Saccharomyces cerevisiae S288C: one gene and its partners. The gene in region 1 interacts genetically with each later gene. Each region holds a gene or a part of one and is shown on either strand. Other genes may lie near its edges.

The links.
Region 2: mutations in KAR9 (region 1) and JNM1 are lethal when combined (synthetic lethality), as found in Saccharomyces cerevisiae (7 studies listed by BioGRID, with this or other methods).
Region 3: mutations in KAR9 (region 1) and BUB2 together harm fitness more than expected from each alone (negative genetic interaction), as found in Saccharomyces cerevisiae (9 studies listed by BioGRID, with this or other methods).
Region 4: mutations in KAR9 (region 1) and PAC11 together harm fitness more than expected from each alone (negative genetic interaction), as found in Saccharomyces cerevisiae (5 studies listed by BioGRID, with this or other methods).

The regions. Positions count from the first base shown.
Region 1 is NC_001148.4:29,193-37,909, reverse strand, and holds KAR9 (Kar9p), read right to left. Parts: upstream 4,898-8,717; coding exon 2,963-4,897; downstream 1-2,962. Other genes in the region: PLC1 (phosphatidylinositol phospholipase C), read right to left, coding at 65-2,674; ATP-binding cassette permease MDL2, read right to left, coding at 5,107-7,428; ATP15 (F1F0 ATP synthase subunit epsilon), read right to left, coding at 7,643-7,831. UniProt on the Saccharomyces cerevisiae protein: Involved in karyogamy. Component of a cortical adaptor complex that orients cytoplasmic microtubules. It may be involved in anchoring cytoplasmic microtubules to the cell cortex.
Region 2 is NC_001145.3:850,440-858,655, forward strand, and holds JNM1 (Jnm1p), read left to right. Parts: upstream 1-6,526; coding exon 6,527-7,648; downstream 7,649-8,216. Other genes in the region: ATP-dependent RNA helicase HAS1, read right to left, coding at 1-1,152; protein kinase TDA1, read left to right, coding at 2,191-3,951; GOT1 (Got1p), read left to right, coding at 4,356-4,377, 4,460-4,854; glutamyl-tRNA(Gln) amidotransferase subunit HER2, read right to left, coding at 4,960-6,354; GSR1 (Gsr1p), read right to left, coding at 7,858-8,216. UniProt on the Saccharomyces cerevisiae protein: Component of the dynactin complex which assists cytoplasmic dynein by increasing its processivity and by regulation of its cargo binding.
Region 3 is NC_001145.3:385,601-390,943, reverse strand, and holds BUB2 (Bub2p), read left to right. Parts: upstream 1-3,922; coding exon 3,923-4,843; downstream 4,844-5,343. Other genes in the region: ferroxidase FET3, read right to left, coding at 212-2,122; ADP/ATP carrier protein AAC1, read left to right, coding at 2,700-3,629; STV1 (H(+)-transporting V0 sector ATPase subunit a), read right to left, coding at 4,969-5,343. UniProt on the Saccharomyces cerevisiae protein: Part of a checkpoint which monitors spindle integrity and prevents premature exit from mitosis. This cell-cycle arrest depends upon inhibition of the GTP-binding protein TEM1 by the BFA1/BUB2 complex.
Region 4 is NC_001136.10:1,428,545-1,437,097, reverse strand, and holds PAC11 (dynein intermediate chain), read left to right. Parts: upstream 1-6,308; coding exon 6,309-7,910; downstream 7,911-8,553. Other genes in the region: mitochondrial 37S ribosomal protein mS46 RSM28, read right to left, coding at 1-168; MZM1 (Mzm1p), read right to left, coding at 510-881; IZH1 (PAQR-type receptor), read right to left, coding at 1,224-2,174; serine/threonine protein kinase PKH1, read left to right, coding at 2,830-5,130; DNA replication protein SLD5, read right to left, coding at 5,202-6,086; 3,4-dihydroxy-2-butanone-4-phosphate synthase RIB3, read left to right, coding at 8,118-8,553. UniProt on the Saccharomyces cerevisiae protein: Required for viability in the absence of the kinesin-related CIN8 mitotic motor. May be a dynein intermediate chain.

The DNA of each region.
Region 1 (8,717 bases):
GGTATATGCAAGTAGGTATATGTACGTATTTATGAATATGTGTATTTGGCCGGAAAAAGATCGCCTATAAAATTTGTGTATGAATAAATAAAGTGCAAAATATGTATTGTTCCCCCTCCATGTTAAACAACGGAATGTGACGATATCCCATCCTCAAATAGTTCAGCTTAAGGCAAACAGATGCAATCTGGGTCTCTTCAGAGATAACCATGAATTTTATAAATGTGAGGTCTGTATCTTTCAATGTGATAGAAACTTCAGCATCCCATATTGGGTTGAATCCATTCCCTTGAGAACTCTTAGTGGATGCTTCAGTGGCAGAAATCCTTGTACCCTTATCGATTGAGATGGGCATTGTCGGCTCGTCATCGGTATGAAACTCCACTTTAACAAAGGAATTGGTGTTATTTCTGCTTGGCGATGTATCATTCAATCTGGGCAATAACTGTGTAGATAAAATTCGAATTTTAACAGTAACAGGATCACTACCATTTTCAAAATGTTCGTAAATTAATGGAATCATTTTCGCCTTTGTTACTACAGGTAGCAACTTTTTTGGTTTTAGCACGTATCCTGATTTAAAACTTCCATCAGGTTGGTGATCTAATATTTGAAACATTGCCAGATTAAGTTGCTGTCCAATATCATTAGTTTGCCAATTCGTAGCCACCATTTGTACACCGGCCTTCCAAAAAGGTATTGGGTTAAAATTTGATGATTTGTATCGTAAAACGTGAGGATAGACTCTCATCAAATATCTTCTATTATGTTTATCCAACGATAATTTTAAGTGTTTGTCTTTTATCATGTATTCTACTTTGCGCTCATTCAGTGAAAAACAATGCGCTATCGTTTTGGACTCTGGTAAAGAGAAATTCCTGAACTTGATGCCATGTATTCCAGAAATGTTAGAAACATCATTAATTATATCAGCGTGCTTTTTTAATCCAATTCTTTTGATGCGTTGCATACTAGAAGAATTTGTTGCGCTACTACTGTTCGTGGAGTCATCTTTCATTCTTAATTCCTGTTCATTAGCTGATTCGTAAGAAGAACTAAAAGAAGATGGAAATGGCTCATTAACGCTAAGACCTCTAGTTGCTTCACTCGTCTTCTTGGATTTCAACAGTATTTTATGTTTTAATTCCCTTGGTGATGGCAGTTTATCAGTTCTTGTGCCAACAAAGTACAGCTGTTCTGCTAAAACCTCTCTCATTATCAGGCTTGCCAATTTTTGATTATCCTTGTTACAGTTTATTTCCAGTGAAATAATCAAAGGATACGGAGACGTTATAAAAGCGTACTTCTTTATCACGCGTATAACTGTTTTTAAGGGAATAGCTGACGTTAAAAATCCATGGCATACCACTGGCCCATTTTCACCATCCCATATATCAATTTCTACGCACCTACAACCTTGTTGTAGGACTTGAATATATCCCTCCACAGATGGAGTTTCTGCAATTTGTTTCCCCAATAAATAAGTATTATGTGAAGATGCAATAAAATAATGGTTTAATGGCTTTGAATATAACTCCTCTTTAACCTCCACCAAATATGGTTGCTCCTTCAAGAACTTGGTAAAACCATCTTGCCCCATCGTCAGCTGAGTCGGTTCTCTGTACTTAATAAAATATGACCATGCAGTTTGACGATCCACTTGCTCATGCTGCTCTGTAATTAAAAATTGAAAAAAATTTTCAAATGATAAGTGGGAGTGTGGAGGTTTTGTAAATTTAGACCAAATCATATTTACCTCTTTCCTATTCTTTAAGATTTTAATGAACTTTTCAAATTCAAAATAATTTAATAGTCCGTTATGATTGATGTCTGCTAATTGGAAAAACTCTAACAATTGACCAGTTGACACATAAATATGAAATTTATCACATAGTTTCTTCACATCTGCAAAGCTCAATGTGTCCTTTTTCTCATCTTCCTCTTTTTCAGAAACAGTAATTTGCCAATGTATCCTAGCGAATTGCGAATTATCAGGCAAAAGTATGCTTTCCATTAATTCCCTCCTTAACTTCACTAAACCGCAAATGCAGCTTAAGAATGTGTTAAAGTCCAATTCATTCAAAGCAACTACGTGTAACGCTTTCAATTTGTTGGAAACCTTATAAATAATAGCAATCCAAAGTTTACTGTCCGATCTCAATCTTTTCGGATCTACTTCCTCTTGATAAGTACTCGCCGTATCACCGATTCTGATGTCTTTAACGGAGTCTAATTCCAGATACTTCGAACCATCTTTCCATATTATTTGCCCGTTGTTATTGATTAATTTAAATTCATAGAACTTCCTTCTTCTTCTTGTCATCCTAATCATCCTGATTCCTCTTTGCAATACGCGACATAGCGTGCTGAGATCACAGTCTTTTCTTAATTTCTTGTTAACAAGCTCATTTATCCCATGTGAATAAGTAAGAGGCCCCATATGGACTCTAGGCAATTCGGCTGCTCTTCTAAAAATCGACCTTATGCTTCTTCTCACAGTACTTCCATTGTTCGCGCTTTTTTGGTCAGTATTAAAAGAGGATTGAAAAGAACTGTAACTTATAAAATCTAAAGCATCATCCTTTTGTGTTATTTTCCCTTGATCTCTGCATGAGTGTCGTTGTAACTCCTTTGTAAGATTAAACCTTTGGTCATCTATAGCACTTTCAGTCATTCATATACACTGCGTGAATGACCTTACCGTTGTACGTTTATAATTCCCAGTCTTTTATTGTTTTAATGACCTGAGGCTGCTTATGTCGTGATGCTTATACTATTTTTTTTATAAAGCGTCGGGTAAAGGTGTCAAAAACTGTAAAATGAAAACGTGCGGAATCTTCATGGACTATTTAAAATTACACATAATATTACATTATTTAAACTAGTATTACAAATTCTATGAATGGAGAGGGTGAGAGGGAGGATATATAAAAATGTATAAGTATACAGTTTTAGGTTAGTATCAATAAGTTGGGGTTTTATCTAAACGCCCTTCTCTTGGTGAAAGTAACTGTGATAAGGGGGTGGGAGGCCTCAATCGGGTTCTTCTTCTTGTCGAAGGGACCCAAACTTGACTATTAGGTGTCGTGATTTTTGTTGGCGGAGTCTGGAAAACCTTTGCTATCGGTGTGTTTTCTACGGTGACTTTCACCACTTTATCCTTGTATATAGGGATCCTAGAGGGCAAGGACCGGTAATGATTCCATTTATCTTTTTCGATGTCAAGCACAGACTTATTCTTTGCCATCAAAGGAGTTTCTGTAATCTGTACTTTATTTTCATGCCGAGATGTAATGAAGGAGTCTGGTGACTTTTCATTTTCCCCACGAGAAACACGGAGGGTGGTTTCATCGGTTTCGTCATAAGGTAAGGGAGGAACACTACTTAGTATCAGTTTTCCTTTGTTTGGCGACTCCGGATCAAAAAATGGATTAATCGCATTTGATGAATTTGGGCTTGTTGCAGGTTTAATATTCATCTTCTGCAGTAACGCTTTACCAAGCTTTTTACCTTTCAAAGCCACTGTAGTTGAATTTTCCGGTGTTTTATTACTGTCACCTTCATTAATGGCGACTCTCTCCTGGAAATCCTGGGTTATAGTTCCAATAACACTATTCGGTCGCCCAAAGCCTAATGATTTCGGTTTTGGAATCTTCTTCTTGCTAGTAGCTATTTTGTTTGAAGCGGAGGATTTGATTAGAATTTTATCCGCTGTAGGCTTGATATTCAGCCATCTTTGAGCTAATTCATTTGTCTTCGATGCGACGCCAGCGTCCAAAAGTGAGAATTCCAATGCTCTGTAAATAATATTGAATGTCTTAGAAACAGTTTTTGATTTTCTCTCCAATTGCCTCTCGAGCCTTATAGTGATATCTTTGGTATACTTTGTTGTCAGTAATTTCGACTGCAACCTTTCTATCTCATCAAGAATGTATAATAGTTCATGATTTAAATTAATAAAGAGTATATTCCAACGTTTGTCGATTAGTTCGACTTTCAATTCCCTAAACTCTGAATTCATAAATCTATAATCTTTCATTATCAGCTCGTATTTTTTTTGCAAGATTGTTTGCAAAGTAGTTATGTTTGTTATATTCCGGTGCCCAAATTGCACAATTCTTTGAGGTAGGATATCAGTCAAACTTTTTTCAATTGGAGGGATATTTTTTTTTAGGTTCAAGAACTTTCTTGATAAAATATCTTCTGCCGGAGAAAATTTTGGTACCTTTGGCTCAGTTGTCTCCGTATGCGTTCCTAATAACTTGACTAGTTGTTCTAGGGTAAATGATGGAGTATGCCGTATCGGGGACGCGAACCTTTCTTCCTGAATTTCCAGACAATACGATATATTGCTATTAATGATTTTATGTAATGTATCCATATGATCCTTTGAAATTTCGTTAAATTCCAATGACGTATCCAATAATTCCTTCAAGTTAGTAAGCCATGGCTCCAACTGAGTCTTAATTTGTGTAGATTCTTCTATGACGTCAAACATCGGGCTAAATCGATTGTATTTGTCGCTATCCTGATCGTCCTTCGAGAATTCATCCTCTAGTAAATCCAACAAATGAGCAAAACCTTCCTCAATATTATGAACGTCACTAATAAATTGATATAGCATATATTTTTTCAATAATAACCAGTCCATAAACAACAAAATATCGTCTTTTCCCAGTCTTTTCTTGTTGACTAAGTCGGGAATTACCGAGGCAACGTTCTCCAAATCATCATAAAATTGAACTAACAATGTCTCTGATATACTTGTGGTACTCTCATTCAATGAGTTGCAATCGTTTATTGAATGTAATGTATTGTGAATTCTTTCTAAACGTTCACAAAAGTTCTCTTGGAAGTCATCCCCAATGGTCATAGATCTGGGTCCATCATTATCCATGGCAGTGCTACTGAAATCTTTAAGGCTGTTACAGACAAAGATTCGTGCGGCCACATTACACTTTGTTATTGTTTCAATGTTATTTGTTTATGCTACCAAAAGTATCGATTCGGGTAATGAAAATCCTTTTTATTTGGCATTTAACAGTATTATATATAGTATATATTTAAATGTGCGAGATAAGAATGGGTATATGCGATGCGGATGACTCACGGTTGTGGTGTGATCTTAATTGGATTAGCCTCCTTTGCCGCGTCTTTCAGGAGATGTTCGACAGATTTTTCAATATCATCTGAATTATTGTCTTTCGTCTCTGGAGACTGGTTATTGCTGTCGTTATCATGATTATTATCATTATCGTCATTATCGTCCTTTTTCTGGTCATCATGCTCCTTACTCTCATTCAAATCTTCCTTTTCGATGACCTTCTCTATTTGCAGTTGTTGGTCAGATGGCCCAGGAGCCGCTTTCTCATTAAGTAATTGCGATAAAGCACTTGTTGGATTCGCATACAATTCTTTGAATTTGCCCATTTCTACCACTGATCCATCATGGCCAAGGACAATAACATTCTCTGATCTTCTGATCGTACTTAGCCTGTGCGCGATGCTAACAATAGTCATCGATTTTGATTTCATTAGTTGACCAAACGTATAGTTAATGGCTCCTTCACTTTCAACATCTAAAGCTGATGTAGCTTCATCAAGAATCAAAATAGTTGGCTTTTTGATTAGAGCCCTTGCAATCGCAATACGCTGCTTTTGTCCTCCACTTAGTAAGGTGCCGTGAGGACCAATTACCGTATCGTATGTGTTCGGAAATTTTGTGATAAAGTTATGGCAAAAGCACTGCTTTGCTACTGACCTGATTTCTTCCTTTGTTGGGGTATATGTCAACCCATAAGTGATATTATCCCTAATAGTACCTGACATCAGTACCGGCTCTTGCTGAACGATACCAATATGCCTTCTTAGGGATTTACAATTCAATTTAGAGATATCTTGGTTATCTATCGTAATAGTCCCAGTAGTGGGATTATAATATCTTAGCAGTAAGAGTGCAATTGTAGATTTACCACGACCTGAAGGGCCCACAATACAAACACTCGATCCTGGCGCAATTTTAAAATTTAAATTCTTGAATATTTGAACAGAAGGCCTTGTAGGGTAGCTAAATGAAACATCTTTAAATTCGATAACACCACGATCTGGTTTATACTTGTGTCCCACAGTCGGTGAAATGGAAGGTTTCCTATCTGTTAATTCAAACAACCTGGAAGCGGCCCCAGCACCCTGCATAATTTCCGAATAGAAGGTAGAAAGGCCGAATACCGCATTCCCCGTATATTCTGTGTACAGCATAAATGCAGTCAGATCACCAATGGAGAGCTGTGATTGTAAAACAAGATAGGAGCCATACGCAAGGACGGTTAAAAAACTTAGGTCACCTAAGAGACTAGTTGTAGTAAAAAACTTTGCGTTTGTAAATGCCGCAGTTTTTCCCACCTGAAAAATATCTCTAATTGCAACGTTATACCTAGACAATTCATTACCTTCAGCAACAAACGACTGAACCGTCTTGATACCAGAGAGTTGTTCTTCAGCGACTCTAGTCAATTGACCAGTAGCTTCTTGAAGGTCTTTAGAGGTGTTTCTAATTTGCTTCCCGAACACTGAGGCACTAAAAAGAACAGGTGGAGTGAAGAATAGTAACAATATTGATAGTTGAGGTGACAAAGAACACATCATCCCCACGCCAACAACCCCACAAATTAGGGCTTTGACCCCATCCGAGACCTTCTGGGTCATTGATCTTGAAACAACATAAGCATCAGATCCTAAACGAGAAATTAAATCCCCAACTTTATGGTTGTCGAAGAATTCTGCGTCTTGATGAAGCGTTTTTTTAATGACATTTGCCCTTAGGCGTGCAACAACACGCTCACTTAGTATCCTCAATAATATAAATCTACCAAAATTAGCAGCACAACCAATCAGTAAAGCAACAGTAAAAAAGGAAAGAAACTCATATAAAGGCAAAGAAAAAATCGGTATCTTCAAATCAAAAAAATCTGATCCAGATGACGTCTTAAGTGTGTCAAGGACAATACCTATGACTTTAGGAATAGACATGCCTATGGAACATGATATGGTTAAAAGAAGTATGGCTGTAAGAAGCAGTTTCCAATCCCGTTTCGCCAACATAAATAACCTTATTATATCTTTATAGTCATCAGTTTTAGATTGCTCCTTTGCATGTGCCGACCTTGCTGATCCTTTAGATATGGGAGAGGCTGAAGGCAGAGAAGTTTCTGGAACTGTTTTGGATGAATTACATCTAAAACTTTGTAAAATTAGTGATTTTCCAACTGCAGGTGACCTTAAACACAACCGACTGAGAGGAATGAGCTGCGATGAAGAAGGGGTGACCAAAGACCGAAACCTTATAGATGGCAGTTTAGCCAGTCGGGGACGGGACAGCATGTTTCTGCATATGCCCAGCCGCAAAAGTGGTAAACGACCATTCAACATTGCGATTGGCGATGATGGGACATATATTTCTTTTTCTTTTAATGCAATGATACAAACTTTATACCACTCTTCGAAGCGGCCAGTATTCAATATCATTGTAGTCATTATTAGTTTCCCGTATAAAAGTACGTAAGTTTTCATACACAGTTGCTAGAATATTTAAAATGTATATCAGCGAGTAAAAAAAGAGCTGCAGTTCCCAGGAAGCGTTAAACTATTTTGTTATTGGAGTGGGTTCAGAAGCTGCAGTGCCATTTTTATATTGGGTATAAAAAGCATCTGTTTGCGATCTGTTAAGAACACTAGCGGTTTGTAATTCAGTTTTCAATGAAGAACGGATAGCCTGAGCGGCCACATTCAAATATGCAGCATATGATATACCAGCTTTCCTCCAGGCAGACATTTTATGAATCGGTTGTGGGCTGAAACTGTTGATGTTTCTTAGAAATACATATCTTGCTAAGTACTCAATAGAAAGGCCTACTTGTATCTCTTCATTTAACTAGACGAAAAAGGGGAGGATCAAATTTCATTGGTTCGTATAAAAGTATTAAAAAATAAGCGCGTTGCCAGACTTAGTGTGAGATAGTAAGCTAGTAAATCATCTGCTATTACCTAGTTTAGCGTATTTCCTAATAAGGATTACCAATTCCTCAAGTTCATGGCTTGGTAAGATACAGCTATAGCTTTCTTAGTTTTTTTCTTCGAGAGAACTAGTACAATGCTTCTATAGAAGTTAAGAAGTTTACCTTTTCGAAGAACAAATATATTGTTGCTTTGCTTACTCCGAGGTTATCGACTATTTTTGGCAATCCGTTTGAACCTGGATAAATACGTAAATCAGACTTTCTTTAGCCGGATCAACTCTTTTTTTTTTGTAAGCACTCTGACTTGTCGCTGCTGTGTCTGCCAATAATTCAATAATTCATAGTATTTCATACCATATGCTTTATTTAGTGTCCCACTGATGTGAGTTGAAGAATTGTATTCAGATAGGCATATCTTAAGGTCCAACTATTGCCACCGTCGTAGTGCGGAAAGGTTGATTATCGAGCGAATTAGAGGAATAAATGCTGCTATGCGCACGATGAGCAAATCGGAAGTAAACCACGCCGCTGATCCACCTGAACAAAAGAATCTCGCGGAGTTACGATTTAATGTAGGTTTGCTCAGATTACGTTACTGATACTTTACTTTGGACAAAAGTTCTCATACAAACTGTGGAAACAACACCGCTTAAACCAACGATTATGAAATGACATGGTCTAAAGTAATATAATCTATATTAG
Region 2 (8,216 bases), on another chromosome or scaffold:
AGTGCCTCTTGCGGTTCTTCCGACTCTATGAATATAATCTCTTGGATCATCAGGAGGGTCGAATTGAATGATCCAGTCCACAGCAGGGATATCTAGCCCTCTAGCTGCGACATCTGTACAAATCAAGATACCTCTTTCCGCATTACAGAATTCGAAAAATGTATTTGTTCTCTTTTGTTGTTTTTGCTTACCGTGTAATTCGAGGACTGGCAAATCAATATAGTTCAATAATTCAGCGTAATATTTCACAGAGTTACAAGATGATAAAAATACAATAATTTTCTTTTTTTGATTTCTTTTCAAGAAAGAAAATAACAACAAAAATCTCTTATCACTGTCACATACCACATAGCCTTGTTCTAATCCATCTGCGGTGGAGTTGTCGGTTTCAGGAACGACATTAATGAAAAGAGGGCCCGGTCTCAGCGAGATTCTAGCCAAATCCTCAACTTTGGTCGTTTGTGTAGCTGAAAATAACATGGATTGCCTATCTTCGTTTGGCAAGATCTTAATTATCTGCCTCATTTCATCTTCAAACCCAATTTCTAAGATTCTGTCCGCTTCATCGATAATCAAAGCCTTCAAGTTCTTGAATACAAATCCTTTTGTATTTTGTAAGTGATCCAATAATCTTCCAGGGGTAGCAATCAACATGTTAACACCTTTCATCAATTTTTCGGCTTCCTGTCTTCTATTTGCACCACCAATGACAATACCAAATGTCTGTGAATGGAATTCCATTAACTCTCTTGCCACTCCAAAAATCTGTAAAGCCAACTCTCTTGTAGGCGTAATGACAATTATACCGGTACCATTTCTTGGTTTGAATTTCAAAGAATGCAATAGTTCAATAGCAGGGATGAGAAACGCTAGAGTTTTACCAGAACCTGTCTTGGCAGCACCAAGAACATCCCTACCGGCCAAAAGAGGTGGGATAGTCCTTGCCTGAACAGAAGTCATAGTGGTAAATCCCATCTTTTCAATGGCCTTTAAAGTTGGCTGTGATAACTTTAGTTCTTCGAACTTTTCCACACAAGTAGTTTGTTCTCCCTCAGGTGCGGCATTGTTTTGTTTTGAAGTGCTCTTTTCATCTACTACAGGTTCTTCTGTAGATTCAGAATCTCTAGAACGTTTATTTGACGGGGTAGCCATACTTCTCCTGTTAATATTGCTCAGCTTATCTAATTATTATAGTATACAGTTATCCAATAGCTATGTACTCAAGTACCGTGTATACACTATAAAATCTCATCTCATCGCTAAAGCTAATATTGAAAAAAAAAAAAAAAAAAAAAAGAAAAAGCAAATAAAAAATTTTCAATTCGGGTAACGAAGAATCGACTCTCGCCGGGTAAACAATTCTTAGTCGTCATACACTCCTCTTTACGTTAAGAAAATAGAAGTAGCAGCGCTTTGTAAAGCATTAAAGCGTCATGGATTGCAAAATACACATAATATATCACTTGTGATAGTGAGAAATGGAATGAAGTGGTTTAAGATGCTCTTTTACCAATAAACATATTGCGCCTATCAAATCATTTTCCACCCCTGTTAACTGATACAGATATAGCCTTACATATAACTTTTGCACTCCCTAAAATTACCATGGCTGTTCACCGCCTGCTATCATCCATGTTTTTACATACATCTATTAGGTTTGCCATCTTAGCCGCCGAAGCTATCGTTGCCGGTACAGGCGCTCCTTGAATAACCCCCTCCCCCCCACGCTATTCTTCAAATTCCGATTTCAGCTTCTCTTTGTTTTTCCTTTTTTGGCACCTCGGAAAAACCTCCACGTGTTAGGTTATTCCGCCGATTCCACGGGTGGGGTGCTACCAAGACTCCTGAAAAAGAAACTGTATGACGAAAAGAAAAAAAAAAAGCTGCTTGAATTCCAACACCGCTTTCTTGTTCTGACAATAGAAAGGGGGATTCCTAAAAAAAGAAAAAGAGGGCGGGGTTTATCATGTACTCAGAATATGAAAACGTGTCGAACGGGGATGACTTCTTCTGCTTCTTTACTTCTTTCTATTTAGAGTGACAGTTTTTTTATTTGTTTTGCTAACTTGTTTATTTATTAATTTCTTGTTTGCTCCTTCAGTTACCTACCACGACTGTCTCAGCCAAACCGCGATATTTTCATACAATTGACATTACAACAGTTCAAAAAGAAAAATACACATCCAGGATATGACTACAGCTAGTTCTTCTGCTTCCCAGCTACAACAGCGCCTGCCGGAAGAAAAACCTTGGCCGCAACTGAGTGGCAGCAATGCAGACGCTCAAACCTTCAAATGTAAATACGTAACCAACCACAACTCCTTGGGCGATGGGAATTTTAGCGTCGTGAAAGAATGTATGAATATACACACAAAGGATTTGTACGCGATGAAGCTTATTAAGAAACAAACTGTCAAGAACAAAATTCAACTTATTCAAAGAGAGTTCGACCTTTTGAGGTCAATAAGCGAGAAAATCAGAGATATGGAAAAAAAGAATGAACATTCTTTGGACATTTTTGAGGGGCATCACCATATTTTACAACTTTTCGACTATTTTGAGACGGCAGATAACATTGTCCTGATCACTCAGCTGTGTCAGAAGGGAGATTTGTATGAAAAAATTGTTGAAAATCAGTGTTTAGACCTCGAAACTCAAGTTACCTCGTACTGCGCCTGTTTGGTGAGCGTTCTCGAGTTTTTGCATTCTCAAGGTATTGTTCATAGAGACTTGAAAGCAGAAAACGTCTTATTCAGATTGAGAGTGAACGAAAACGAAAAAAACCTACAGGGTGAACACCACGGAGATTTCAAATACGATCTCTTGGCACACGACCTAGTTCTCGCCGATTTTGGTCTTGCTGCTGAATATAACACAAGTAAGGTAAACTCGTTAAAGGAGTTTGTTGGAACCATCTCGTATATTGCTCCAGAAATCGTCAAGTGCAAAGGTGTCGGTGAAATGACTCCTGATCAAGTTGGCAAACTAGACAAGTATGGTTGTCCGGTGGATATATGGGCCCTTGGTGTACTGACATATTTCATGGCCTTCGGCTATACGCCCTTTGACTGTACCACAGACGACGAAACTCTGGAATGTATTTCAAAATGTGACTATTACGTCGACGAACAAATGATGCACGACCCTAAATACGAACAATTTTGGAATTTTGTTCAATGCTGTTTTACTATTGACCCGGCCGTTAGGCGTTCTGCTAAGAATTTGAAACAGCATCCCTTTATTAAGGATTATTTTGCTACTTCAAATTCTTTGAATACTAAGGACACGCCGAATTTCTCCTTTCATCCAACAATAAGAAGGGTATCTTCTACAGCGTCCATGCACACATTGAGGTCTCCTTCCAAATCAAGAAAGACAACTACTCTAGCGTATTTAAATATGGATGGCGGGTCCTCTGAAACTTCCACCGCCTTCAGCAGCAAGATGGATTTGCCTGACCTTTACGTTGATAGAACCATTAATTCTCGTGAAAGATCATTGAATAGAATTCGAGACACTCTGAAGAAAACATTATCCATGACATCTCTTAAGCCTGCAGGCACATTCGACTATCTTCACGCTAACAAAAACGGTACTTCTTTATCATCATCCAAGTCAGGCCTCGTGAAAAAGAATTCTACTTTTGTCTTGGACCCTAAGCCACCAAAGAATAGCTTGATGAACGGTTGTTTCAGCACCACTCCAGAATCGCGCTCAAATTTCAATACCCCCAAAACCTTATCGAGGCAAGGTTCCTCTACTAGCGTGAAGAAATATGTCAATGAAGTTGACTTACTTTTAACCCCACGTACGGCCTCGATGAGCAGCAATGATACCACAGCCATTAACGATTATGATACTACTAACGATAAGAATCCTGCAAGAAAACACGCAGCTTCATTCCAGGTGAATGTTGATGATTCTGATGGTGATGAAACCATGCAGATATAGTGTTGAATGATAATTCACCTTTTTTTTCTTTCTTTTTTTTTTTACCTGGGACGACATTCTAACTAATGAAATTTACGATTAATTATTCTTTTTTTTTTTTTTCAAGAAATAAATATAACTGTAACATATATATATTAATTATGGGGGATCACAAAGAAAAATAGTAACTTTAAGAATCAAATAATAATGTGTTGCGCTTCTTAGTACTCATCCGGCATTTACGGTTTCCATGGTATGGTTTATTTTTCGTGCATAGTATTACCCGTCGTGTTCTTTTCGGACATTGGAAAGTTGTCCATCCCAAACACTTAAGATGAGTTAAAAGGCGTTGGCGTTTGCCTTCTCCGTGTGATTGATTTACAGTTCAGCCCAGTGATCATTTAGCTTACCCATCATCGCGTAAAATGTGGCTCACAGAGGCTCAAAGTATGTTTTTAATATTTTAGATGCTCTTTGCTTCTCCGAGAGACGTTAGTTCCTTTTTTACTAACAACTTACTTTTCACTAGAATTTGGTGTGGCCTTCACTTTCGGCGGTTTTCTCTTCTTTTTGTTTGGTATATTTACTTTTTTTGATCGTGCCCTATTGGCCTTGGGCAATATTTTGTTTTTAATTGGAGTATTCTTAATAATCGGTTCACAAAAGACATATATTTTTTTTACCAGGCCAAACAAAAGGCGCGGTTCACTATTTTTCCTAGTTGGTGCCTTCTTAATACTGTTGAAATGGACATTTTTGGGCTTTATAATTGAATCTCTAGGTATTATAGGTCTCTTTGGTGATTTTTTTGGCGTCATCGTACAATTTTTGAGATCAATGCCCATAATTGGTCCCATACTTTCTCACCCAGCAATCGCTCCAATAGTAGATAAATTAGCGGGAGTTAGGGTTCTGCCAGTATAATGGTAAAATTTTGTATGTGAATATCATAGATTAATTTTTTCGAACTTTCTATAGGTATAAAGTAAAAATAATAATATTTACATGATTAACGTTGTCCTCACAAATTTATGATATTGACTCGACAAAATCTAACACAGTGGAATCATCACCATATTGACCTACTACCTGTAAGCCAATCGGGGTCTTCTCTTTTAAAGGCATTGATAAACTTGGTAGTCCAGCCAATGACATTGGGACAGTAAAGACATCGTTTATATACGAGTTAGCCGGAGATTTGGCTTCCTCTTCTTCGAAGTCCCTTATGGATCCAGGAAGCTTGGACGATGTGGGAACTATCAGTAGATCTAGGCCGTCTGGATTTCCCTTAGAATTAGTTAAAACATTTGGAAATCTGAAGATCCCGTCAAATTCATCGATCAAATTAACTCGTAGCTTTTCTGCCTTAATAAAATTGTTCTTAAATGCATCTGAACAAAGATTATAATTACCTAGAATGATTCTATTCTTAACTTCTGTTCCGAATTTGGACCTAGTAGGTGCGAATAAAATACCGTCTTTTATATCGAGTTCTGAATCTCTGTATCCATATCTGATACCATCATACCTTGATAAATTGGAAGCCGCTTCAGCGGGTGATAGCGTATAATAAATCGGTAAACAGTTTTTTACAGATGGAATGGATACAGGGTATATTTCAAGCCCTAAATTTATCAGCTTTTCTAGTAAGGATAAATATAATCTGTGGAACCCAATGGGCATACTTTCATGGCTAAATTCCTTTACAATTCCTACCTTTAAAGGTCTCCTAACCTTTTTATTCCCTTCTATCAATTCACGCAATTCCACACTTAAGGAAGTGGGATCTTTCATGTCATATTTATCGAGCGTATGAAATACTTTTCGCAAGACGTTTATCTTTTTGCTAAGTATGCCAACAGTGTCTAAAGATTGAGAATACGCTATTACGCCAAATCTTGACAACCGTCCATAGGACGGCTTGAATCCTAAAACAGATCCATAGCATGCGGGGAGCCTAACGGAGCCACCAGTATCTGTTCCCAAGGCAAAATCGACTAGATCGCAAGCAACGCTTGCAGCGGCTCCAGACGATGAACCTCCCATGATCTTCTTGTCCTCATGAGGATATAAAGGGTTAATTACGGGCCCTCTTATTGAATGTACTCCCCCAGAACCCATTCCAAATTCATCTAAATTTGTCTTGCCTAAGATATGCACTCCTGCCTGTTTTAATAGTTTCACTACTGTTGCATCGAAGGGAGACTTGAAATTCTCAAGTATATGTGAGGCACATGTGGTTGGAAAATCTTTTGTAACTATATTATCCTTGATACTGGCAACGCAACCTGTCAATGTTTCTTTTGTACCTTTTTTATTTGTGATTGAATAAGGAGATGGATTGATACTAGTGAAAATATTATATTTTGATTGAAAACTAGATAATCTTTCGATTGATTCTTTTAAGGAGCGTTTCAGTGGCATTTTTGTATAATCAAAGTTAGGACTCCAATTGAGGGGCCATCTTTCCAGCACAAATAATAGTGTTTACAAGTATAGATGTACTATTACTTTTTTGGGAGCCAATGCATTTCAAAAAAAAAAAGAAGAGCAGATAAGTCATGAGGCTAAGAAAGATAAAGAAATCTACTGGTTGATGAACGTCATAGATTTAAGTGATCCTGCCATCAATGTGGATTATGATAGCTTGATTGGCATTGACAATGAGGAATCTCAAGAAATTTTTGAAAATGAAGTGAAGGAAGATGGACAACAAGAAGAGCAGGAAGAAGCATCTTCAAGAAAAGATGGGCTCATCGTTGAACCAGGGAGAGATGTTGAGAGTTTGAGAAGGGCTATTCGAGATCAGTTGCTTTTCAAGATACATAGACAAAACCAATCAGACTGTGCAGATGCGAGAAAGTTGAGTAACGATGAAGAAGATGAAAGTCGGCAACAGAAATTAGAAAGAATAAGAGAAGAATTGGAGGAGTTGAAAATAGAAAATTTAACATCTGAAATGCAAACTGAAATCAAGGAATTGTGCGAAATTCAATCAAAATTGGCGACGGAATCATCTAGTAGATTGACAAATTTGAGGAAGAAGCTTCTCGAAACATATGAAGGCCAAGATACCGTCATATTGCCAAACATAATTCTTGATACGAGTAATATCAAAAGATTGCAAAAGTTAGATCAGAAAATATCCCTAATGGAACGTTTTGTTGGCATACCAGAAGCTTTGGAGGCAGAAGAAGATAGGAAATCGGTTCATAGTAAAGTCAATGAACTATATAGAAGTATTCAACTTTTACAAGGCGATGATAAGGCGGAAGGAAAGCTGCAAAAGTTCCGGGATAGACTCGTAGAACTGAACGAGGAATTTGAAAACTCATTGTTAGGCAAGAAAATACAACAGGACTTGAGGTTGAAAGATGACACCGTGAGCAAGCTTGTTATGCCCGAAAACAAAGTAAAGGAGATAAATAGTATGTATTCCATGTTCAAGCAATATCAAGATTCACTACCACTGTTGGCGGAGAGGATGAAAAGTCTCAATAAAATGAACAACAGGGTGATCGAGGTGTACGAAACCACGAAAGGGCTGGATTCACAAATAACCAGCATCCAAGAACAAGGAAAAGTTTGGCTAAAGGCTTTAAATGAGCTGGATAAAAAATTCGATGAACAAGAGGTTAAAATTCGCGAAAATATGGAGCAGATCAGGCGTAAAATTGATACCCTCGAAGACGAAGCTCTACAGAGAAATAGCAAATAAAAGGCGGAGAAATAATTTTATAAACCAATTTAATTTCATTCTTCATTTTTTCGTCTCCATATGACAAAAAAATTGAAAATATGTGTGTGTATGTATATATAATAATAGTAATAATAACAATATGAAATATGAAATATCCAAAATAAGAGCGGAAAACAGAAATTATCATAAAAAAGAAAAAAATAAAGTCTCTAAAGGGTATCAAGCGCTTATTTCTTCTTCATTCTACCAAACAATCCCTTCTTCTTCTTCTTTTGCTTTTCCTCAGTCTGTACGTGTTGTTGTGGCTGATACACTGCTTGTTCACCATACATTTGACTGGAAGCACCACCCACTTGCTGTGGCATACCGTTCGCATCGTAAGTCACAGCAGCACCAAACACAGGGAAATCAGGTCTTACGCGGAACCCGTAAGTTGGAGTCTCCAACTGTTGGGCCCAGACCGGGTCTCCGGAGACAGCATACTCGAAACTTCTTATAGTGTCCAAAGGTCTTTCGTCTCTTGCCCTAGTTGGATTCGATATATCTGCCTGTGTGATGGGTTGACCGAAAACATCACACAGAACAT
Region 3 (5,343 bases), on another chromosome or scaffold:
TATGCACATCAGCCTCGTGACAGATGAGGATCTCATGTCAAAAACCGCCAAGAAGCATGCATTATTGAATTTGAAACGTGGTAGATTATTAAGTATATGTCTATGTAATATTAAGTAAGACAAGGGCATTCACTTTACATGCAAATGCATTTGGAACCCTTGACCGAAAAAAAAAAAACAGGTTAACCGCAAAATACATGATCTTCCTTTATTAGAAGAACCGTTTGGCTTTAGTTAAAAATTGATGCTTTTCAGTGGAATGACGATCTTCGTTTACCTGACGCTCTTCATTTTCATCAACCTCATTTAGCAAGACTTCAGGGTCCACGTGCAAGTCTCGAATAACCTTTTCGGTCGCATCTTCCATATCCATCATACCATAAATTGCAATTGTGATAATACCAAGAATACCGGCAAAGCAGGAGAATGTCATGGCAATAATACCTTTTTTGGTAAAACCGGTAGGAATGAAGGCATGCTGAACATTTTCACCAGTTAAATCAGTTAAATCCAGTGTATTGGCAGCGGCGTTACCTTCAGTGGCCACAGAGCAACTCTGGCAAACTTCTAAGTGGTTTTCACTGAGTTGTTGAGAATGAGCATCTTGGATACCAAAAGGATCCTCCACGAGAACAAGACCCAAACCTTGCAACAAATGCCATTCGATATGACAATGGAAGAACCAAACACCTGGGTTATCGGCTTTAAACCTGATGACGAAATTGGATTGTGGTCTAACGTATAAAGTATCTCTTCTCATTGGGTATTCTGGGAAGGCAGGGTGGTTGTCCGGATCGAAACTGTGAGGAACTTCACCTAGGGCATCATCATATGTACGATCTCTCTGGATGGTTTGGAAAGCGTGACCATGTAAATGGAAAGGATGGGTACCTGTGTCCTGGTTATTTAGCACAATCTCCACGATTTCATCCTTCTCTAGGATGAAAGTGTGCGTGTTTGAACCGTAGATTTCGGAGTTGTTTGCTTGATCACCTGAAGACAAAACGGTCATCAAAGTAGGAACTTTTGGTGCAGTATAGGTGATATTATTGAAGAAGGCGTAATTCACACCGTTTTTCAAGTTATCCATAACAACGTCAACGGTAATCACATGATCTGGCTCGCCATAGATGGCTTCTTTCTCGTACGGTTGCAAGTAGAAATCGTCCAAGAAGTTATCAATTGAATCCACGTAATTTTGTGTGGGCAGCGCAGCGGTTTTGTTGTAGACCATATAAGAGGTTGCATTCAGCTGTAAATCACTTGGAATGACATCCAACATGGTGTCATCAAATTTCTGCATGATGGCGAAATTTTTGTCCGTGTCGTTTTTAGTGTGAACCAGGACTGTATATCTCTGAGCGACAGTGATGTAAAGCATATCCGTTACGTTCTTCTCGGTAGTGATACCGTCGATTTCGACCACGGTCATTTCGTGGTCCTCGATCCAAAAGTACTGCGAAACGAACCCACCCACGTTGACAATTCTCAAAAGATACGTCGTATCGGGCTGGACTTCCCATGTCAGATTCATCGTGTTGTTAACAATCAAGTTCTGTGGGATGGGCTCAGCACCTGTCGGATTATAAACACTCATGAACGACTTCGTCAAGTCCGTGACCAAGTCGTGGTACCACTCACTAAGCGATAAAGAAAGTTCCTCATCGTAATCGTAGGGGAAGCTATCATCCTTGATGATGAAAAGACCTTTCATCCCGTCTTCATATTGACCGTCCGTGTGTGAATGGTACCAGTAGGTGCCTACATTGTAGTCCACCGTGAAATTGTAAAGCATAGTACTGCCTGGCGCAATTGGACATTGCGTCAAGAAGGGCACACCGTCCATAGAGGCGGTTCCGTTTTGGAAGAGACCGTGGAAATGCATAGAAGTATTGGTGTTGTTCATTCCGTTGGTCAAGTAAATCTGCACACGGTCACCTTTGTTGACCGTTATATCTGGCCATGGGAACTGGCCATTACAGGTGATCACGGGACGGCTCTTTAGCCCATCAACGTTCCTGTAGTCCCAGCCAGTGGTCCAATTAAACGTGTGCGTCTCCGCTTGTGCTAGCGAGAGCATCGAGAAAAGCAAAACGGCTATAGAGAGCAAAGCGTTAGTCATCTAGTTCTAATTTTTTGCTACTCTTCCTTACACTGGGGTCCTCTTCGTTTCCTATGCCTATCCATCGCTTATAGAACAAGAGCTATAGGGCATGGCCTGCTTACATACATATATATATATATATATATATATATATAATCGCACTACATGCACGAGGCCTTGGCATACTCCCTCGAAGGATCGACTGTTTGAGTGCATCCTTCATTTTCTGTCGCAATTGGCGAGAATAAGAGCACCTGCAAATGGGTGCACTTTTGAAGATGGGCCTTGCCTGTTGGGCCTGCCTAAGTCAGCCTCGCCTAGCTCTAGGCGGAGGGTCTTTATCGGCGACTCAGCGTACTGTAGGGACCACCCCAGGCGCAACGGGCTGATTCGCACCCGGAAAGTAAAGCTTATTTCTGTCGGACGGAGAGTGTCCTTTTTCTCTCGCAGAAGACCATTTATTGGTCCTGAAACGGTATGAACATGTTATTATTCCTGTAACCGTGAAATAGGCAAGCCAAGGCATTATCGCAAAGAAGGCAGCACAGATTCTCGTATCTGTTATTCTTTTCTATTTTTCCTTTTTACAGCAGTAATGTCTCACACAGAAACACAGACTCAGCAGTCACACTTCGGTGTGGACTTCCTTATGGGCGGCGTTTCTGCTGCCATTGCGAAGACGGGTGCCGCTCCCATTGAACGGGTGAAACTGTTGATGCAGAATCAAGAAGAGATGCTTAAACAGGGCTCGTTGGATACACGGTACAAGGGAATTTTAGATTGCTTCAAGAGGACTGCGACTCATGAAGGTATTGTGTCGTTCTGGAGGGGTAACACCGCCAATGTTCTCCGGTATTTCCCCACGCAGGCGCTGAATTTTGCCTTCAAAGACAAAATTAAGTCGTTGTTGAGTTACGACAGAGAGCGCGATGGGTATGCCAAGTGGTTTGCTGGAAATCTTTTCTCTGGTGGAGCGGCTGGTGGTTTGTCGCTTCTATTTGTATATTCCTTGGACTACGCAAGGACGCGGCTTGCAGCGGATGCTAGGGGTTCTAAGTCAACCTCGCAAAGACAGTTTAATGGATTGCTAGACGTGTATAAGAAGACACTGAAAACGGACGGGTTGTTGGGTCTGTACCGTGGGTTTGTGCCCTCAGTTCTGGGTATCATTGTCTACAGAGGTCTGTACTTTGGCTTGTACGATTCTTTCAAGCCTGTGCTGTTGACGGGGGCTCTAGAGGGGTCCTTTGTTGCCTCTTTCCTATTAGGTTGGGTCATTACCATGGGTGCTTCCACTGCGTCGTATCCCTTGGATACGGTAAGAAGAAGGATGATGATGACTTCGGGCCAGACCATCAAGTACGACGGTGCTCTGGACTGTTTGAGAAAGATTGTTCAGAAAGAGGGCGCGTATTCCTTGTTCAAGGGCTGTGGTGCCAACATATTTAGAGGAGTCGCTGCAGCTGGTGTCATCTCATTGTACGATCAGTTGCAACTCATAATGTTTGGCAAAAAATTCAAGTGAAAAAAAAAGAAAACAACAAACGAATAAAATCTAAAAATTCTACATATTCTTGCTATTTATTTACATATTCATTCTTGCTACATACCTGTCTTATGCTATAATGACACTGGAGGTCTTCTTTCTTCTTTGAATTTATGTCCTGACAATTCAGTAAACGCCGTGCGGAAGGGAACCGTTTACGTACGCCAAGCTAAACATTGAAAAAAAAAAAAAAAAAAATGATAATAATAGTAATAATAGTAACGACGTAAAGGTAAAAGAAACAACAGACTTTTAAACTTGTTAACTTTTGCATGACCTCAATTGAAGATCTGATATCAAATCCTCCCCTGCTACTGCATTCCTCACTCTCTCAACTTCGCTACCTCATACTCAGTGAAGGGCTTCCCATATCTGAAGATAAACAGCAGCAGCGCACGCGATGTTACGTGTGGACGGTGCTCTCTCAAACTTCTATGGAGGCGTCTACACAACGGTACCTTGCGCTCTTGAAACTGGGCCCACCTTCCACAACCATTTACCAAAAAATCAAGAACGACACATCCAGAACTTTTCAGACGGATCCAAACTTTAGAAATAGAGTCTCAGAGGATGCCCTCATCCGGTGTCTGTCGTGCTTTGCTTGGCAAACACAACAAAGAAGACAAAAGACTCGTTTTGGTCGCATTCCTGTGAGCACATATGTGCAGGGCATGAACGTGTTATTAGCTCCTCTGCTTTACTCATGTCCTTCTGAACCTATGGCGTATCAACTTTTCACTAAGCTTTGTTATGAAATGATACCGACGTATCTAACTAAGAACCTAAACGGCGCCCAGAACGGCGCCAAACTACTAGATATTTCTCTCAGAATCATTGATCCAAAGCTGAGTAAATTTCTATCGGACAATTTACTTACAGCAGAGATTTATGGTATGCCTTCCATACTCACGTTATCCAGCTGCAATAAACCGCTTGATCAGGTCATTAAACTGTGGGATTTCATGTTTGCATATGGATTCCATATGAATATTCTCTTTGTGGTGGCATTCCTAGTTAAAATGAGATCCAAGGTTTTCAAATCGGATTCCCCTGTTAATTTACTACGACAGTTTCCGGATTTTGATGCTGACGAGATCATTCGGCTGGGCGTCGGGTTCATCGCTAAGATCCCTGCTCAAATTTATGACCTATTGGTAGACCACTTGACCGACCCAGACATATATATACCGTAAACTATGTGAAGAAATATTATATTTTATCGTTTAATTCTACAACGTTTATATGTCTGTATGTGTAAAAAAAAATAAAACGAAAAAAGCAGTGGGTAGATGAGAAAATTTACAGTAATTTAAGGTTATTATTCTATTATTGCACGAAATGAAAATGGCTCGTACGCATATCCTTCACCTTCAAAAAATTTGGACATTGCCTCCACCCAATGCAAACGTAGCGCATGCAACATTGCGGAAGTACCTTCCATGAAAACTAGGATACAAACGGTTAAAACAAACCACATAGCAAATAAGAAAACCACCTTCATGACAGCCAAAGGCGACCCTGAGTTTTTAGAACTGAAAGCGTTTGAAATTGTCATATCCCATAAAACACTAGATAATTGCGCATGCGCCAACGATAGTGCCCAAAGACGTAGATATGATGCTGTATGAGAGATACAATTTAAACAGAATTCAATAGTATGGATTACCTGATGAATCATGACATCGCCGAAATT
Region 4 (8,553 bases), on another chromosome or scaffold:
CCTCTTATTTTGCATTCTACCCTCCTTCATCTTGTCCAATTTGAGAGCATTGGAGGAAGCTTTTGCTGTTGCCTCTTGAGCCCTTGCTAGAATGCTATTTATGAAATCTTCTGTGACACTTGTGCTGTAATGAGCGCGACTCACACATCTAAACATGGAGGAGCGCATTTTCTACTCCGTCTATTTCTCTTATTATGGCTCGTCCAACTAGATTATTTAATGAGTTACCGCTGCCCTTTTCCTCTTTTATGCTTTCTCCAGTTTCGTTAAGTTTAATTCCGCTATAAAGCTTTGTTCATTTCCGTCAAAAGGGATAAAGCACTAGCAACTACGCTGTTTCAGTAGCACATCAAATACAACAAGCTGTATACATGTACATACTACAAACAGAACAAATGCAACGATATATCGTGCTAAATCAGTTTATATGCCACCTAGCAAAGTTGCTAGGTACTAAAAAAGTATTTACATGTATATAGCTTCGAAGATAAAACAAAATCAAGGCATTATCATTGCTTTTTATCAGAGCATTTAAATGGTCTTGCCTTTAAGTTTGTTTTCACTCTTGCCGTAGGGTCTGCAATCGTCTCATTGTCACCCAATTCGGTGTCTTTGTGAATGTTCAAATGGTACCTAGGCTCCTTAGTACTTGAGCCATCAACCTTTTTGCCCTGAACCAGGTTTCGTCTCAAAAAAACAGCCACATCCTCTAAATGTTGAATCTGATCCTCTGTGGTGAGTTTAGGATCTGGGGGACATAACATTCCTGAACGCATTTTAGCTCTCGCGGCTAGTAATACTTCAGCATCATTCCGGAAAGCTATTCGGGTTGCTCTTAAGCCATGCCTGTATGCATTCAGGGCCTTTGTTCTCGTGCTCATAGTGTGTTAAATTTATATAATTTGTTCTTTTTATTCTCTTCAGTGAAACGCAAGCGTACCGAAAAATATAAGGAAGTCTTTTAGTCCTATCCTTTTCTCTTCCTCTCTTTCCTTTGTAGTAGGTTCACTTATTCAAACGTTTAATTTTTCGGCATTACTCACTTTAGTAAGACCAAAATTAATTAGGCTAATATAGCGAAGTACCTGTCAAAATGCGATCTATGATAAAAGCATGATGTGACGAATATCTAAAAAGGAATAAAGACTTTTTTTGCATTTAATTATTTTCTAACCTTAGATATATAATGTTATTTATTTGATTTTGTAGTAGTTGTAGGCCCATCAAGGGTGGATATGAGAATGCATTAATTTGTAAGAATCGATAATGGCTTTCAAGTGGCATACAGAACCAAGAACCACCATAATATGAAATATTTGATGAGAGCTACCGAAGAAATCGAACTTCCCTGGAGCCAAAGTTTCAGGAATCCTAAACCCGTAGATTACAGCCCCTGAAATGTAAAAGAGAGCTTCCCAAAACACAAAGCTGACTTTTATTCTGTTAAGAACCCCTTGGATACCGAACTTGAAAAACCCTGTGGTCAATGGGAGTAAGCCACTAAATCCAAACAATATGAAAAACATGGCCCTAAATGGACGAAATGTGGAAGTGTTAAACTTGTCGTGGAGGACACAGACTGTACAAAATGTTGCCAGGACTAAAGTAACAATCGTGAAAAGACTGAAGTAGGATATGTGGTCGAAGTAACCAAAGTATATTATAGGGATCATAGAACAGGAAATCAAACTGATAATCCCCAAGTAGTCGAGCTTGCTCCAGAAATTGCTTTGCTTTTCAGAGTGTTGCTTCATGCAGTGGAAACAGCTACTGCACATGAGACATGAGAAAGCGCCCATCAAGAAAATGTTTATAACGGTGTAATCGGACCAGGAAGTGGAGGGGAAAACGGGAATTAGAAAGTAGTTGGTCAACGTAATGGCAAACACGAAGTATACGATAGCCGGTACCAAATGTGTATAAATGTTCACAGTCTCGTTGTTCCAATAAAATAAAGAATATAAGCACTTTTTCCATGACAGTGTTTCACGAACGTACCCGGTGAGAATTTTGTCATTATCTTTTTGCCATTCTGGCAACTCATCGAAATTGTGTAGCAGTTTTTGCTTTTCAAAAACTGTCTGGCCTGAGACAGCTTCCACCTTAATGGAGGCTCTCGTTGCCTTGCAGCAGACACTATCTTGGTTTCTTCTTCTAGTAGTGGTGATACTCATTTTTTTTCTTCTTTTATCTTGCTTGACTCAATTAAGGCGACTAATAACAAAACGAATGACGAAAATGGAAAACAATAGAAAAGTTAGGAACCAGAATCACTTTTGTAAAGTTAATATTGCGCTTGCGGAGCTCCTTACTGTTTCAACTGATGATACTGATATGCCTTTAGAAAAGAAATCAAATTCTATTAACAGAAGGGTGCCAACATGTACGTATATATATATGTGTGCGTGTGTATATATGTCTGACATATACATGAGTAACCGGCTAAGTAAGGTTTTTACGTTGATTGCTGCATCCATCGGTCGTGAGTATTGTCAAATTGCCGATGCCCTGCAGGCAAAAAAACCGTTGAAAAATCGTTGGGAAAATGGGCTTGCCCGACTGTCGGATTTAAGGGCTTGGACCCTAAAGGTTGCATGATAAGACCTACTTATTTTAGCATATAACCCTATAAAGGTGAAAATCTCAGTAGGGTTATTTTCGTTTAAGGGAGCATGAAAAATTCAAGTTAGTACATATTAATGGCTTTGAGATATTGCGGAGTGACAACAAGAGTAATACAGAGCAGGCGAGAAAGTAACGCTGGACAGTCACTATCTGGTACAACTTGCGCACGTGTACTTGCTTGAATACTGCTACTATATCATTAATATGGGAAATAGGTCTTTGACAGAGGCAGACCACGCCCTGCTGTCCAAGCCCTTGGTACCGACATCTGCGGAACATACACAAACGCAAGAGTATCCTCGTCCTTTCGTAGATGGCAGCAATTCTCAGAGCGGGTCTGAACTACAGGCTTCTCCACAAGGTCAGTTTGGAGAAAAGGCATTGACTAGTACTAATCGCTTCATTCCCCTGGCAAATGATGACCCGGGTATGCAGCACGAGATGGGTCTTGATCCCTCAATGAGGCGTAGAAGAGAAGAATGGGCAGAACGTGGTGCGGCAAAAATCGTCAAAGATGTTGTCGACCCAGCTACGGGGGAGTTAACTAAGCATGTTGTCAAGATGGGAATAAAGGACTTCAAGTTTGGAGAGCAACTCGGGGATGGATCATATTCTAGTGTTGTTCTGGCTACCGCCCGTGATTCGGGCAAGAAATATGCAGTAAAAGTGTTGAGTAAAGAATATCTGATCCGTCAAAAAAAAGTTAAATACGTCACAGTGGAGAAATTGGCTTTGCAGAAGCTGAATGGCACCAAGGGCATATTCAAGCTTTTCTTCACTTTCCAGGACGAGGCAAGCTTGTATTTCCTTCTAGAATATGCCCCCCACGGTGATTTCTTGGGCTTGATTAAGAAATATGGATCTTTAAACGAGACATGTGCACGCTATTATGCGTCGCAGATCATCGATGCCGTTGACTCCTTGCATAATATCGGCATTATTCACAGGGATATCAAGCCCGAAAACATATTGCTCGACAAAAATATGAAAGTGAAGTTGACGGATTTTGGTACAGCCAAAATTTTACCGGAGGAACCTTCGAACACCGCAGATGGCAAGCCTTATTTCGATTTGTATGCTAAGTCGAAATCATTTGTTGGTACCGCAGAATATGTTTCTCCTGAGCTACTGAATGATAATTATACAGATTCCCGTTGTGACATTTGGGCATTTGGTTGCATATTGTACCAAATGCTTGCGGGAAAACCGCCTTTTAAAGCTGCCAATGAATATTTGACATTCCAAAAAGTAATGAAGATTCAATATGCGTTTACTGCAGGTTTTCCGCAAATAGTAAAAGATTTAGTTAAAAAACTATTAGTTAGGGATCCAAATGATAGATTGACCATAAAGCAGATCAAAGCACACCTCTTTTTCCATGAAGTCAACTTTGAAGATGGTTCTGTTTGGGATGATAATCCACCGGAGATACAGCCATATAAAATAAATGCAGAGGCGATGAAGCCCCTGCAAAAGGTTTCTGAATCTGATACCACTGTCAAAATGGCCAACCTTCAGCTGGCTGGTAATGGACATGCAGATACTCCCCTGCAAGCACCAGCAGCGACCTCTCAAGAGCATTCTGTGATCAGTATGACTGCAGCAACCGCCGCATTCAATAAAGATTATACAAGTCAACCCAAATTGGGGAGCAAGTCAAGCACATCTGTTAGATCTGCCTCCAACAACACAGATCGCGAGGTAATTCAAAAGAAGGTTTCAAAAAATCGCGCATCTGTATCATCTCCTTCAATTTCTACTACATCACGGGGGAAAGATAATAGAAGTCGCTCTTCTGACGCCTTCTGGTCACGCTACTTGCAAAATATGGATGAACGTGTCTTGTTGATGAAGGAGGTAGCGCTTTCCACACGAAACTTAGAGGACTCACCTGTAGGTCTTGAGAACGTGGCTCTGGACTACAAGAACCCTCTTGATATCGAGCCTCCTACTGATAGTGCAGGCAAATTTTACAAGAAAATGTTTCTAATAACAAACCTAGGCAGAGCACTTGTTTTTGTCAAGAGAAGAAGTCTCAGCATGTGGGAAGAACAGGAATTTGAATTGCAATTCGAACTAGAGTTGAATGACGTTGAGAAGATACGCTTTATAAGTGATCAAGTCCTTGAAATTGACGGTTCCAGGACGATTTTCATAGGATGCAAAGAGAGAGCAGTTTTAATGAAACTATGGAAATTAATACATAATGGAATGACCGCCAAACCTAAAGTAGTATCGCCGAAGTCGGACCATAAAATGTTTGATAAGTTCATTCTTCAAAAAAGACAGAATACAAAAAAAAAGAATCAAGCTCCTCCCGTACCTCAATCGAATAGGCTAATAAATGGTTTACCGGACCGTTGCATCTTAAAGACACCCGAAGAAGGCGCACTTCACACAAAACGTCCCACTTCGTTGCAGACCCGATCGTCATCTAATTACTCAAAATTGCTGGCAAGATCGACACAAATGCGGAAAAACATGACACGGACAGATGAAAAATGAAACTGTGCTTGATAATATATATATATGCATATGTAAGACATGGTGAAGGGGAAAGTGTAATGCATAATAGTTCAAATAAGAGCAACTTTGTCGTCTCTCAGCAGATCCCTAATGACTTCATATCTCATAACGTAAATACTTCCAATAGTGAGTTCAACCTCTTCCTTTAAATCGGGTATTGTGACCGTGTAGCAAGGTTTACCGAACTCGTTTTCCTGCAATAGCGGATCTTCGTTCCATTTACCATCTGGTGGGCCGTTAACGTGTATAAAGACAAATTTGTTCCAGTCGGGCTCATCTATCATGTTTACGCTACCTTCTGTATCATTAATAGCCTGAAGTTCTTCGGGCATGTATTTCAGGATAGAATCATTGACTAGTTTCAACCAGATCAGGGAATGCGTGTCATGGTATTTGATTTCATCTTTGGATAGTAAATCTGTAAGAGAGATCAGCGAATTTTCATCTTCATTTAATTGGCGCAAATAAAGTGAGAATTTGTCAATTTTGCTTAGCCTACATCGTATGTAGCTTCTAATAACAAATTTCAATCTTTCTAACTCAGTTTCCATGCAGAGTAAAGGCAATTTAGATTCGTTAGGCATAGGCGGGTTCGCATTAGAAGCATTTTGCATATCGAGGAATCCCATTGAAATGTTTTCAATTAATTGAGATTGCATGGATATTCGATTCAATAATCTTTTCATCAACTGATGAGGATATGGTAAGAGTTCTGGCGAACACCGTTCATTTTTCCAAGACTTCATCAAGTCAGAAAAATCCTGCTGGGGAGAGACATATATCTGAGTCTTGTCATTCAAGTCTAAGGACGAACCCACTATTGTATTTGCATCTCTGTGGGTAGTGGAAGAAGAACCTTGCGTGATCTTGGTAGAGTCGACAGCAGTAGTTTCCTTATCCAGTTCTGCAAGAATATCGTCTATGTTAATGTCCATCACCGAGTCAGGTATCTTATTCTCCTTCCCAATACTAACAAATTTGGTTTTTCTTACCTATGGCTCAAATATAATGCTATTGAAATTTTCAGTACTAGTCCAAGGCGAAAAGAAAAAGAAATGAACTAGTTTTCGTGTTTTGCCGTAAACAAAGAGAAAAGGGAAAAAAGAGCATCACAGTTGGTTAATCAACCAAAGAGGAAGAAGGATTGAAACATTAAGATGGAGCGATTGAAGCAACTGGAGGAAAAAAGGAGACAATTGAAAGAGCTGCGTGAGAGGCGAAAACAAGCCAGCTTGTTCCCTGGGAGCGAGACGATGGGCCACCATCCCACAGAGGTGCACGCTAAGGCAACCATGGTCAGCGTTTCAGTGCAGACCGACATGGAGGAAGGCTCAAAGATTCAAGAGCCCCAATCTGCATATCTTCGACGTAAGGAGGTTATAACATACGACAAAGGCATTCAAACAGATCAAATTGAGGAAGAACAACTGCAAGAAAATGAAAATCACACCACTACTGATGCTGTCGCCATTGAAACTACTGCTGCCGACGAAAATAATAAAGACAAAGCTGAAAACGACCAGCCAAGGTTAGAACTAGCCAAACCTTTTCTTGTTGAAGAGGCGGCGGCAACGCTGAGCAACGCTAGTTTTGCGCGGCTGGAGACAGAGGTTTCTGCGTCAGGCCAGCAGGCGCCATCGAACATGCAACAGGATAAAGACAACCTCATGCAATGGAACATGGTCAGTGAGAATTTACAATCAGAGACAGACTGCGATTGTATCGCTCAGGAGTATGACCCAGGAAAAGGCGTCTTGGTTGTGGTTTATCTACGATTGCCGCCGGCAGACCTACAGTATGCTAGCAGCGAAGCGGCGTGGTCTGTGGTGAATGTAGTCAAGTGCGATAATGCCAGCGGACGCAACGGCCTCTTGATAGATATGGTAGAGTTCCGTGGTACGCGGATCATGACAGCCACGATCCTCCGTCGGTATCATCCGGAAAGCAATGTAATATCAATCTTGTTGGCGACCTTGACGGGCAAGATCATATTGTACGAGCTTAGATTGAAACAGAAAAAGCCAGAAACACCGGTAGTGTATGTCGTGCAGCGAAATATGGTGGCAAGACACTACTTTCAGCACCCAGTGGTGGCTGTAATTGAAACAAGCAGCGTGCAAGATCAAGAGAGAGTACTTGTGGCAGCTGATAATGGCAATATTATGGAGTTGAGCTGCCTGGACTTGACTGTTTTGCGGAAGCCACAGCAGCTCCGTCCTGTACCGCTATCACAGCTTTTATCTTTGGAGAATGATACTTGCACATATACGGAGCGATTGCAGCGGTTGGCAAAGTTTGATGAGGTAGGTATAGCTTGCATGGCGTACACGAGTGAGGACCCGCAGTACGTCTGGATCGGTGGCGAAGACGGTGGTATATACAAGGTTTTCTGGGACCAACCTGGGCCGCTGTACCTCTCTTTGGACAACAATGGGTTCCAACCTGCAGAAAACCACTCTACGAGGGTAACCGGGTTAGAGTTTCATTGGGACGATGCTCGGCGGCTAATGCTTCTATTATCATGTTCCACGGACTGGACGGTGCGGCTGTGGGACGCGCGAGCAGGGAAAGCTATCATAGGGGCGCCATTGTTGTTAGGGGGGCCCGTACTACGTGCACGCTGGCTCGAAAAAAACAATGGAGGGGAAAATAGTCGCACTCTACGGTGTCAAGTGTGGTGTGCAGATGGTCGCCTCGTTGTTGTAAATTGGGCTTTCGATGCTAAGACGTCCCTCTACACGGCCACTGTTATCTCCTAACGCCGCTTCGAGGCGGGTGAGCATAGGTTATTGCCTGATGAGTAATTTCTTAGCGAGAATTGATAAAAAAAAGCAAGGCTATTATTAATATACGTGCTATTGTGAAATTTTCATTGGCGTATATATGTGAGGTGAATGTAAATATCTCCAACAAAAAGCAGAAGGCTAAAAAAAAGGAAAGGAAAAGAAGAAAAGGCAACGTCGAAAATGTTTACACCAATTGATCAAGCTATAGAACACTTCAAGCAGAATAAGTTTGTAATTGTTATGGACGATGCCGGTCGTGAAAATGAAGGTGATCTTATTTGCGCTGCTGAAAATGTCAGCACTGAACAAATGGCCTTTCTTGTACGCCATTCCTCAGGCTACGTCTGTGCACCTATGACGAATGCCATTGCTGATAAGTTGGACCTTCCACTACTGAGAACAGGCATGAAGTTTGAATCCAATGATGACGACAGGCATGGAACTGCATACACAATAACTGTAGATGTAGCCCAAGGCACTACCACAGGTATTTCTGCTCACGACAGGTCGATGACTTGTAGGGCTCTTGCAGACTCTTCCTCTACGCCAAAATCATTTTTAAAACCAGGGCACATCTGTCCCTTGAGAGCCGCTGATGGCGGTGTTTTGCAGAGAA